Linked DNA regions of Oryzias latipes. The protein of the gene in region 1 purifies or fractionates together with the protein of each later gene. This does not show direct contact. Links are inferred from orthologs where the notes say so. Each region holds a gene or a part of one and is shown on either strand. Other genes may lie near its edges.

Evidence for each region.
Region 2: the proteins of aspartyl/asparaginyl beta-hydroxylase (region 1) and lrrc59 purify together in Homo sapiens (co-immunoprecipitation; 3 studies listed by BioGRID and IntAct, with this or other methods). This does not show direct contact. The link is inferred for Oryzias latipes from reciprocal best matches to the Homo sapiens genes ASPH and LRRC59.

What each region holds. Positions count from the first base shown.
Region 1 is NC_019878.2:3,440,253-3,445,352, forward strand, and holds part of aspartyl/asparaginyl beta-hydroxylase, read right to left. Parts: intron 4,838-5,100; coding exon 4,790-4,837; intron 4,589-4,789; coding exon 4,511-4,588; intron 3,744-4,510; coding exon 3,708-3,743; intron 3,636-3,707; coding exon 3,547-3,635; intron 3,469-3,546; coding exon 3,382-3,468; intron 3,311-3,381; coding exon 3,160-3,310; intron 1,682-3,159; coding exon 1,545-1,681; intron 1,468-1,544; coding exon 1,369-1,467; intron 1,296-1,368; coding exon 1,206-1,295; intron 247-1,205; coding exon 109-246; intron 37-108; coding exon 1-36.
Region 2 is NC_019877.2:13,740,175-13,746,551, reverse strand, and holds lrrc59 (leucine-rich repeat-containing protein 59), read right to left. Parts: upstream 4,442-6,377; 5' UTR 4,266-4,441; intron 4,141-4,265; 5' UTR 4,133-4,140; coding exon 4,031-4,132; intron 3,871-4,030; coding exon 3,811-3,870; intron 3,176-3,810; coding exon 3,017-3,175; intron 2,910-3,016; coding exon 2,805-2,909; intron 2,729-2,804; coding exon 2,656-2,728; intron 2,540-2,655; coding exon 2,348-2,539; intron 2,262-2,347; coding exon 1,984-2,261; 3' UTR 1,019-1,983; downstream 1-1,018.

The DNA.
Region 1 (5,100 bases):
CTCGTCCCGGATCGTCTTCCAGTTCCTCTCCAGCACCTGAAAAAACCCGCATACATGGACCCCTAACCCTGGCTTAAAGAACCTAACTGCAAAGGTGAGGCGGCGTACCTTAACCAGGTCCGTGTAGCCCGTCTCTTTGGGCGTCCACCAGGGCTGTGCCTTTAGCCCCTTCACGTTGTACAGAGATCTCTGCCACACCGAGGCGAAGTGACCACGTTTGTGACCCAGTTCATACCACTGATAAGCCTGGTCACACATACACACTCAGTTCAGGTTTGGATTAGATCCAACGGTGTCTATGACGATGGAAATGGCGTAACTCTGTGACTTTCAACCCCTGTGCTGACATCATCAGGTGTGAAAGATGCCGACACAAACACCTGCTAACAAGCTCTGACAGAAATCTTGGATTCAGGCAACGCCATGTGCCAGCCTTGATTTTTTTCCTGCTCACAGCAGATCACCACTGCTGCTCTGAGCCAGGCTCCCAATTGAAAATGCTCCATTTCTATTTAGTCTTCATTGAACGCTTCTACTGGGTTAGCATCAGCTGTTAGAAAGGACACAAGGAACTCACTGAACTGAAACAAGATGGTGGTATAAAAAGAAACTCTGCGGATCTTCCTTTAGACTAATATTTTACTACCGGTATATCTTTTGTGAAGGGTCTCCAGAGAGGGGTAAAGACAGCGCAGAGGATCACCAGCTGCCCTCACTGAAGGACATCTACCAGCATCATCGAGCATCATCACTGACTCCACCCATCCTGCTTTCCCTCTGTTTGATCTGCTGGAGGTGCAGGTCCATCAGAACCAGGACAAACAGTCTCAGGAACAGCTTCTTTCCACAGGCAATCACTTTATACGCATACTCCCACCAACTACACCCACTCTGACTGTTCTCACACACTAAATTACATGTGTGCAATAAAACGCAATATATATTATGCTGCGCTCATTGCAACTCAACTCATGCCATTCTATTTTGTTCACACGTATTTAATATTTACTTGTTTCTGTACATATTGTACATATCTTGATTGGAGATAAGATTTAAAGTTTTGTATTTTATTTTATTTTCACCACTCCAAGGCTGCTACAATTTCATTGTATCACCATGTACAACGACAATAAAGGCATCTTTAATCTGTAATCTCCTATTATCTGCCTCCTGTGGTCAGCAGGGGGGGGGGAAGGATCACTCACACTGTCGTCTCCAACTCTCTGGAGGGCGTCTCCCAGGTGGAAGTAAAAGCGCCCGTCATCGGTCCCCGGCTCGCCAGACTCCAGGCCTTCCTGCAGAGACAAAGGAGAGGTCAAGAGCTGAAGGTGCACGCACTCACCTGGACGCGTGCACGTGTGTGCTAACCCTCAGGAAAGGGATGCTCTCTGCAATCTGGTTTTCTGCCTTCAAGATGAAACCGTAGTGCACTTTGGCAAAGCCGTTGTCAGGGGCGACGCCCAGAACCTGAGCAATGAGGATAAACAGCCAATCAGGACTCAGGACTTAAACAAACAGCAGCACGTTTGTGTCTGTAAACAAACCTCTTCATAGACTTGCTTGGCGCCCTTGTTGTCGCCTAGCAACAAGTGGGCCACGCCTAGATCGTTCTTCAGGCTGACGTCGTCGGGAAAGATCTGAACCAACGTCTGCAGCGTCACCAGAGACCCGCGTGTCCGACCTGGGGGGAGGGGGTGTTATCACCAAACCAGAAAGTGTTGGAAGTTTTGATGTGAAGCTCCAGACCAGAGTCCAGCTAGCATCTGTAAAACAGGAACTGCACAAAGCTCAGGGCCCTGAAGGCAGCACGGGACCACAGGAAGTGTCCCTTCGCAGCAGAAACGACCCTCTGGCAGAAGCTGAAGGGACGGAATCGTACATGAACAGCTGACAGAAATCAAACCCCATCTGCATGTATTTGACTTTCTCAACGAACAGCAGTAAATGTTCAAACGTGTTTTCTGCTCTGTCTGTTCAGCTGCACTGTTTGAACGAGAATTCTCTAAATCAAGTCTCTAAATGACTTCAGAAGCTGGCTGAGTACGGTCCTCACCTGTGCAGCTGTTTAAGGCACACAGCGTTTAAAGTGAGCCGATGGAGAAGATACCAGGCAACCTTTACAGAACTTTTCTGCTAAGGATTTTAATGTCAGAACATCCAGAACCACAGCCGACGAGAGGAGAACCAGAATCGTTGAAACTTGAAAAGGTAATACATGAAAATAGTGCCAAAATATATTTAAAAAATGTAATTGGTCCTAATTTCAATAAAAATGCATTTGCATGAAAGCAAAATGCTGAAATGTGTTTCGGCACAAAACACAAAGGTTTAAAAAAACGGAACCTGTTCAAGCCGGATGTCGCTAATTTACAAGGAACCAAAATTCCAGAGCTTCAAACACACTGAAGAAAATGTATTTTTATAATTGGAAATAAATAAATACAGACATGAAGGGTTTATGTTACTTTAAATAAGTGGAAATGGAACAAAACCCAAGTACAGTTGTACTTGGGTTTTGTACGGGCTACACGGAAAACCCAAGTACAGTTGTTTGTACCTGAAGCCCTGAAATGAAGAGCAAAAGTGATCAAGTTAAGAACTAAAAACTAAATCAAATAAAAGTCCAAAACAAATTGATTAAACAAAATGTTGTATCTAAAAAGTCTTTTAGATAAAAAATTAAAATAAATGTAAATATTATGAGCAAAATTTACAACAAAAAGGCCAAATGCCTGGAAATAACCTAAAAGTGGACTTATTTGACTTTGAAAGTCTGCTAATGTAGTAAAGGTTGGACCTTTCCAGGTGAAAGCGCTGAAGCCTCTGAGGAGTTTAGGAAATGTTTTTTCATTCATTTTAACATTTCAAAAGCATAAAGGGGAAAAACAAAGCATGACCACAGGAAGCTCCTGAAAGAGCTTTGTGGTTTCCCGTTTGGACCAGCAGGGAGTTTAAATGTGCAGAAGAGGTTCTGACATGAGGTCTGTTTCTCCACTTTTTTGATTCAGATTCCTTTGAAAAAAAGAGCAGATCCAGATTTGGAACTCTGGGTCACCTCTGAAGGAGGGGAAGCTCCTCCCACACACATGTACGTCAGCTGAGTTGGGATCAAACGGGAAGCAGATCGGTTCTGCTTGGTACCGCGTGTTCGGACCATACCAAGGAACTGCTGGCGCGCGGCTCGTCTCTTCAGCGCCGCTCTCATGAGGTCGGCGGTGGCGTCTGGCAGCTCGGACGCCTCTTTGTAGGTGTTGATGGCTCTCTGCAGCACCTCGTTGCTGCGCTGCTTCTCTGCCAGGTCGTCCTCCGCCTGGGGGGTCATGGCAGGCATGAGCGCTCCGCTGCACCAGCTGCCGGCTCTGCAGCCCACCGTCACAGTACCTGAGCTTTCCCGTAGCGAGCGCGGGGGCTCTGAGGAAACTGCTGCACCAGCCTCTCAAACGCCTGCAGCGCCTCCTCCAGCTTCCCCTGAGGCAAAGAGGAGGAGGAGAGACATCATGTCCTGCAAAAACACGGAGCTCAGAGCGCTGCTGACCGGGCTGGTACCTTCTTACGAAGCTTCTCTGCTGCATCGATTTCGGCTTTAATCGTTTTATCAAACTTGTTCAGCAGCTTTGGCTTCTTCTTCTTCTTCACTGCAGGAGAGCAAAGGAGAGTTTCAAGGAAAACCTCTCAGAAACAGCTTTTCAACGTTCCTAACTCTCTACCTGGGAGTTTCTCCTCCACTGGCTCTTCTGTCCTTCCTGTCACACATGAAACATGACCGACTTTAAAGGGCTGACAAAAGGATTTATCACATTCCCATTCTCAAAGAAAAGGTTCCATTTGTGCAAATGTTAGGTTTTGAAACATCTGCTCTGATTTGGTTGAGCTCACAGGAGATCTGAGCTTAGATGTTTGGATCGGTCAGCTGCAGAGTTCCCTCAGAAACAAGTGGACCTGGAAGAACTGAAGCAGTTCTGAAGGCAGATGGAGACCGACAGCAAATACCGATTTCATTTACATTTCTCTTTTGTTCGTTCTCTGCATTTGTTTGATTGATGAAAAACACTTTTTTGAAAGCATTTGTTGTTTATCCACAGCTGCCTCTAACCTTAGCACAGTGTATGTTAAGGGCATGGCTCCAAATATTACGAAAAAAAAAACACTGGAGGAAAAACAAACAGATCAGATGTAGAAACCAGCAGCAGCTGACTTCCTGAGTGAAGCACCTTTGAAACCAAAGTGTTATGAAATGGGTCAATAGACCTAAACAAAAACTACACAATAAAATCAGTGAGTCATCTGAGAAGATTTTTATGAACCAGAGTAGAAATTTGAAGAAACTGTCAAAACTTAAGCTGTATGACAGCCTCACAGTCTGTTTCTACCTCTTTTAGAAAGGATGGGGTTCCATGACAGCATATAGGACTATTACGGGGATTGGAAATCTGGCTTCAATCCAGGTCATTACAAACCACACAAACACACTTCATCCTTTAAGTCTTTCATTCCTTTGAGATGGACTCACCGGCGGCCTCTACCGGCTGTGGTTCCACCTCTGTCGTGGCTGCAGGAGGACTTCCTGTGCGCTCCTCTGACTGAAGATCTGAAACACCAGAGAAGGCAGAGTCTGAAACTCAAACTCTGCTTTCTTTATGTCCTGTCTGGACTCATTTTAGGCAGAAGCTCCCTCAAACCAGCAGCTTTTGGAACTGTTGGTTCGGTTCAACTGAACGTCGACTGAACCAGGTAAAGGCGGGACATTTCTCAGCATTCTGAACCAGGAGGAGGGCCAAACCGGACTGACCGGCTTCATGGCTGACTTTGGAGCTTGTCAGGTACTGTCCAGACTGAGCTGCAGGAAAACACAAAGCAGAAAAACATGTTTCAGTTTCATTTTCCGCTACAGGGAAAAAGTTGAAAATCTTTCTGCTTTTTACTTGAGCTGTTTGTACGTTTTACTTTCACTAAGGGCACTTTACAGAAAAACTCAAGAAATGTATAAAAAAAAAAGTTACGATCCGATTTATATCTATAACATCATCAATCGCTCCTGATTACAGAGCAAGCCCATGAAGAAGTCACTCCAAATCTGTGTGTGTAAGTTATTATACAGAT
Region 2 (6,377 bases), on another chromosome or scaffold:
GGTTGCAGGTTCAGGTCCCGCCTTGCACGCCCATGTGTCGAAGTGTCCTTGGACAAGACACTGAACCCCACCTTGCCTCTGGTGGGAGGTTGGCGCCAGTGTTCGGCAGCGGAGCCGCCGCCAGTGTGTGAATGTGTGTGTAAATGTGTGTGTGCATGGGTGAATGGGACTGTGACTGTAAAGCGCTTTGGGCCTCGGAAAGAGGGTAGAAAGCGCTATATAAGTATACGCCATTTATTACCTTTACCAACGTTAAGGGTTAAGGTATTTACCATTACCTTAACCCTTAACGTTGGGAGTTGGGTCATCTAGACCCACTAGACAGTGCTCTGAACCTTTTTTCTTCAATGATTTGTGATCTTCATGGATTACATGAAATCTTTCCACCTTTATCCACCTTTGTCATGGTAGGGAGAACACGTCAATGTAAGGGTGAGGTCATCTAAGATAGCACAAGGGATATCCCACAGTGACAATCAGCATATATTATCGCTTTCCTTTCCCGCTGCAGTCGAGGTCCGTGCCGACTCAGCCGCTACCACAAATTGCATCACGTAACAAATAGTTTTTTGTGAAAGAAAAAAAAAAAGCCATCAAACCGAAAATATAACAATAAAGTACAAACAACTTAGTATTTCTTTTGTAAGTGACCATGGCATAAGGTTAATGGCCTTCAAAGTGTGCATTATCAGGAATTAACGCGGAAGCAACCGTCAACGCGAAGCAGATGGCGTGCGTTAATTTCTGAACACGCACACTTTGTCGGCCATTAACCCTTACTTAACACATCCAACATTAATGTTCTGCTGCACACTTTTTAATACTAAGTGTTTAAAACTTAATGCTCTGCAAAAAGCAAAAAAGGTGTAAGGTCTTTTAAAACTTGACAGAAAAGATTTGCTTTAGTTGTTCAAATTTTTTTAAATTAACTTGACCTTTAAAGTACGGTTTAGGTTTTAGCCAAACTGCCCCTGATTTATTATATTCATTATTATGGAAATCAAGCAGACCCCAGTCACTCACTTCAGACATGAAGCTTCTTTATTGGTGAAGCAGTTTAAACGCAGATTTTCATATTTAAGTCTCACTCCTCAAGATAGTTAAGAAATAAATAAAACTTGGTGACAATCAAAAGCAGGAAAATGCAATTTGATCTTTACAAGCAGACTAAGGTACATGTTATCTGACCAGCTTTTAAACCATGTTTTTATAACATTACTTTATTTCTTAAACATATCCTATCAGAATAATGAAGAAAATATGATTAGTTTTTCACTAATCCACAAACTAAAAGCTCATTTTAGCTTTTTCAAATTGAGTTTTTTCATTTTTGTTAAACTCAAATCTTTGGGTTTAAACCTGAATCACTTGAATTTTCACGAATTATTTAACCAGTTAAAACATTAATCTAACAAAATGTTGTATTTTTTAAGATTTGACTCAAAAGATCATGAGAGAGGAACAGTGTTAGGAAGTTTGGGCTTATGTCATCAGTCTTGTGACAATCTTTGGAACAATGGTGAGCCTCTCGTTTTACATTAGTTGAGACTTAAAGTTTGACTCCTGAGAATATATAGGTGCTCCACTGCACATGCTCAGACTGCCACATCTAGCCTCTGTAGATGCTCATCGGACAGTGAACAGGCTTTAAGAGTCTAGCGCAGCACAAACAGGGCTGTTTGAGGTTTCACTGAACGGCTCTGCTATGTTTCCTGCAGCTTTAGCGGGAGACATAAAAGATGATTAAATAAGGAAAAAAAAGACTGTAGTACAAAGAGGGTACAAGAATGACAATTCCATAGGAATTTAGGACGGTTTCAACACATCTCCCCCTCAACAAACGTCTATTTGTGCAGACAATTTGCCAGTACCAACGACAGACGCTCTCCAGGTGATTTCCTGATGTTCCGGAGGAAAATTTCAGTCGTTCACAGGATAGGATGAAAATCCTGCCCCTCTGACAGCGAGCCGGCATGAGAGCATTTAGCTTTTGGATGTGGACTCTAGGAGCTCCTTTGCAGCAGAAGACAGATTCTGCGCCAGCTGTCGAACGACACCTCCCTGCACTTTGGCCCAGGCCAAGCCGTCGTCCACGGCAACATTGATTGGCACGCAGGCCGGTTCCTTCTGCAAGTCGGTCAGCCGGCAGGCGGCAACAGCCCCGGCCAAACCCAGCATCAGAAGGAGGAGAAGCTTGAACATCAGTCCGATAAGAGATCGCCGTGGTTTAGACGCAGGTTCCACAGCCGCCTTTTTGTCTGCTGAAACAAAATAAGACATCCATTTAAAAAAGAAAGAATTTAAATAAATGAAAAGCAATTCAAGAAACTGAAAACCTAAATCCCACCTGCTGCCTGTCCATTTCTTTTCTTTTTCTCCTCATTCTTCTTCTTCTGTTGCTCCTTTGCCGCCACAGCCGCCATCTGAGCCTGGTACTCCTGCCGTCTCCTTTCTTTCTCCTCGGCTTTTTCCCGCTTGCGAGCCTCCCTCTCTCTGGCTTCCCGTTCCCTCTGCTTTGCCTCTTTTTTCTTTTCCAGCTCTAAATAAAAAGAAAAATAAGATTTTTACAAGACATGCAGTAAATGGCAAAACTTTCCATTTTTTTGGTAAACCCCAAAACAACCTTCTTTAGACGATACATTTCTAGAAACTCACCTTTTTCTCTTAAAAGGCGCTTCTCTCTGGCGTGGTCCACCTCCTCCTGAATTTCTCTCATGTGCTGCAGAACCTTAAAAAACACGATGAATAGGTTTGGAGGTTTTTCTTCCAGAGCAGACCATTGGACTGATGTTCCTCTATCTCACCTTGGAGGCACACAGTTTGCACTGCTTCTCATCCAGACAGTCTCCTGCTGCCTTTGCCAAAGTGGGCTCCAGAGGGTTATCCTTTAGATCCAACCACTTTAGACTCTAAACAAACCAACCAACCAAAATACGCTCAGTCCGACTTGGTTACAACAGCCTCTTTCTGACTGACACAAATGGTGACAAAAGTGCAGACGCTGCACACCACCCACCCTGAGCTGAGAAAAACTGACGGGCAGGGTCATCAGCTTGTTGTTGAACAGGTCCAGGTGCTGAAGGTTGACCAGGTTCCCAAACTCATCTGGCAGACAGGTTAGCTGGTTTTTGCTTAGATCTAGTTTCACCAGGTGGGTCAACGAGCAGAATTCTGGCTGCAGGACAGAAACACAGCAAACCAAAATGTAAAAATTCTGATTTATCAAACACCGCTAAAAGTCCCACTAATCATATTTTGATCTATTTTCAATGCATTCCCTATAATTAAAGACCACCCAGCTTATATTCTACATCACAAATTCACGCTGATTCTTTTCATCTGCTCCTGATTCACAGCAATTTGAATAAAGAAATACTTAGGCAATTTGTGCTGAATTCTATTTATACTCGTCCTTATCATCAGGAAAATGTCACAAGAACATGCTAAAAAATACCAAGAACACAATTTTACTCAGGGTGGGTATTTAACACTACAAGTAGATGGATGACAGAGGAACAGGAATAATGGTAGAGAAAAAGTTTATTAAAATAAACGGCGACTTCTGTGCCTATCCAAAGAAGGGAACCTAATAGTTCATGGCAACATAAAGAAAGAGTTTTAAAAACTGTTTAGAGATCAAAACATTTACTTTATTCATGCGACACACGATATAATTGATACAAAAAAGGGAGTCCGATTAAATAAAAGTTCAATATTGATCCTTTAACAAAAACAAGAGATAATGCTGTTAAATGTATATATAAAAGCACAATAAATGACATATGTTGCTGATTTTGTACTCATACTTACAGAAAGGCAGATGATGTTATTGCAGGACAAATCCATCACTGTTGCTTTAGGAAGCTGGGCCTTAAAAAATACATACAATTAAATGAATATTATTATTATTATTGCAATTGTTTTATAGCAGGAACTATAGAAAGACACCAAACCAGTCCTGACTTTAATTAAACGTGTTACTTGTGTGTGTGTTTTTTAAATTAACTATTAATAAACATAATTGACTCACAAGCTCTTTGACCGGAACCTCAGAGAGGTTACACAGGCTCAAGTCCATTTCATTTCCACTCAGTTTATCCTTCAGATTCAACGCTTTGCTAGATTTGCTCATCCTGAAGCCTGTCAGGAAAAAAAAAACAGAGCAATATAACCGCAATAAACAAACAAAAGCGTGAGGAAACTTTAGAAAACTATGTCAGACTCCACAAAACACCGAAATCCACACATGACGACGAGGCTCTCACCTGATACGGAACGTTTAACAAAGCCGCTCTTTACGTAGGTCTGTCGAAAGGTTAGCACTGAAGGCCTGACTGATATATCTGAGGAAACCTTGACAGAAGAATCTCAGAAACGCTGTTAGTGTCCGCACAAACTGCCTCTCAATGAAAGTCCACGTCACTGATTGAGCAACAATGCAGGGACACCGCAGAGAACAGCGCCCCTCCGAGGCGCGGAGGAATGACTGCTATTACTATTTGGCCAAATAACAAGCTCCTGTTTTTCCATTTCCATAGTGCTCACAACGTGAAAATTATAGTTTTTGTTTTATTTTTTGGATAATAAATAAATACATAAAAAATTAATGAAAATTGATGCACATCTATTTTTTTAAAGAAAGACACTAAATAGTGCATTTAATTTTGCCTATTCCTATTCCAACTATTTAATTTTTGTGATTGATCATTTTTTGAGCCCCCGAGGAAAGACTTTGCAGGTCCGTTTGCGGATGACGTGGGAAGACTGTGAAAAGACAGACATGTTGCAATTAATGTTTTCTGATAGCGCTGCAGCTGTGTTTTATCTGTTTCCCCTCCTTAGAACTCAGCGCATATGTAAATTAGGGAATACCCAACAAACTTAATAAAAGAGGAGGTGACAGAATATGCGCCAGAGTGGAGAGCGATTGTTGCTGAGGATTATCGCTGTTCGTTTCTCCTCGTAAAAGGTACCTTTGGTCTGTCTTTCTTTCCTTACGTTGTTATTCTGATGTTGCAGGTTGTTGTAATCCAACACATGCTGGTGTATCACACACCAAATTCACAGTAACATTGTACATTTGCAACAATGTCTATTTACTACTACAAATGAAATCAAAACATATAATGGTTTCAAAAATTCCCTTTGATATACAAATGTGTTATTCTTTTTTAAATCCACTAATTTTATAATCCAGACAATTTTCTTACAAAAGCTTCTTGAAAACCAATTACAAAGAATAAAAACTCTATGGAATCTACAATTCCTCAATGATAACACAGTTTTTTTTATTTTTGTAGCCATTTATTGTTCTGTTACAGTTATTTTCCTCTACAGTCCCCCAAAGTAAAATGACTTTTCTTTAGCGTCTTGCTTTATTTTTGGCTTGCACAGTCCCTAACTAAAAATTTGGTTCAAGTATTTGTGCTGACAACACTGAACAAGAGAAAAGCCATACAAATACAGGGAAAACACATGCCACAACCAACATGCCCAAGCTAAATGTATTCATGAAAACTTGAACCTCAAAAACCCTAATGACTCTCTTTATTGTGCTCCTCTTCTAGCATTTTCCACTTACAAAAATGTCATTACACGTATTTTAACAAAAATTTCACAATATGTTGACACCTATGTGTTACATATTGCTAAACATGCTTTAAAAATGACAAATTAGTGGAAAATAGATGGTAATTTACAATGCTAATTACTGTTTGAATGATTGAGCAAGGTTATGAGGTTGGGAGTTAGCGTAGTCACAGTAATGTTTGTTTAATTGGTATCAGTCTGTTACAAACAAGGTTGGGAATAACGGGTATTATGAATATGCTGCTAAAGATTCTAACGTGGCTAATGTGAAGCGTGTTTAAAAAAAGTTAGTGTCAATGTAGCAAATGTTTTGAGTGGTTCACTTCCACCAAATTCATTGTACGGGTAAATAGTATTTTTGTCAACTCTTGTACCTGTACGTTTGTCACTCTGTCCAATCATACTCAAACTCACCAAAGTCAGAAAGAATGCACCAAGACAAGCATGCGCGGTGCGCCATACAATCTGGTGGCCCCTATGATGTGGAAAATATGGTAGATGTTTAGGAAAACAAATCATGTCTGTTCAGTTCATTATGATATTATGACAGTTTAGGCACTGGCGGCAGAGCATGACCAATATATATGTTGCTTCTCATAAGTTTATCATCAAAAAAGTGATAGGTTTTGGATACTTTTAGGTCATATTTATATCCAGTAAAACAAAATAAAAAGGGAGATGAGTGGTAAAAAGTATTACATATTTTCTTGTCATTTTTTGCCTTTTGCAGTCTTTTCAGTGCAGAGTTTGAGTCTCGGGAAAATCATATAGTTGTGGTTTGGTGAAAA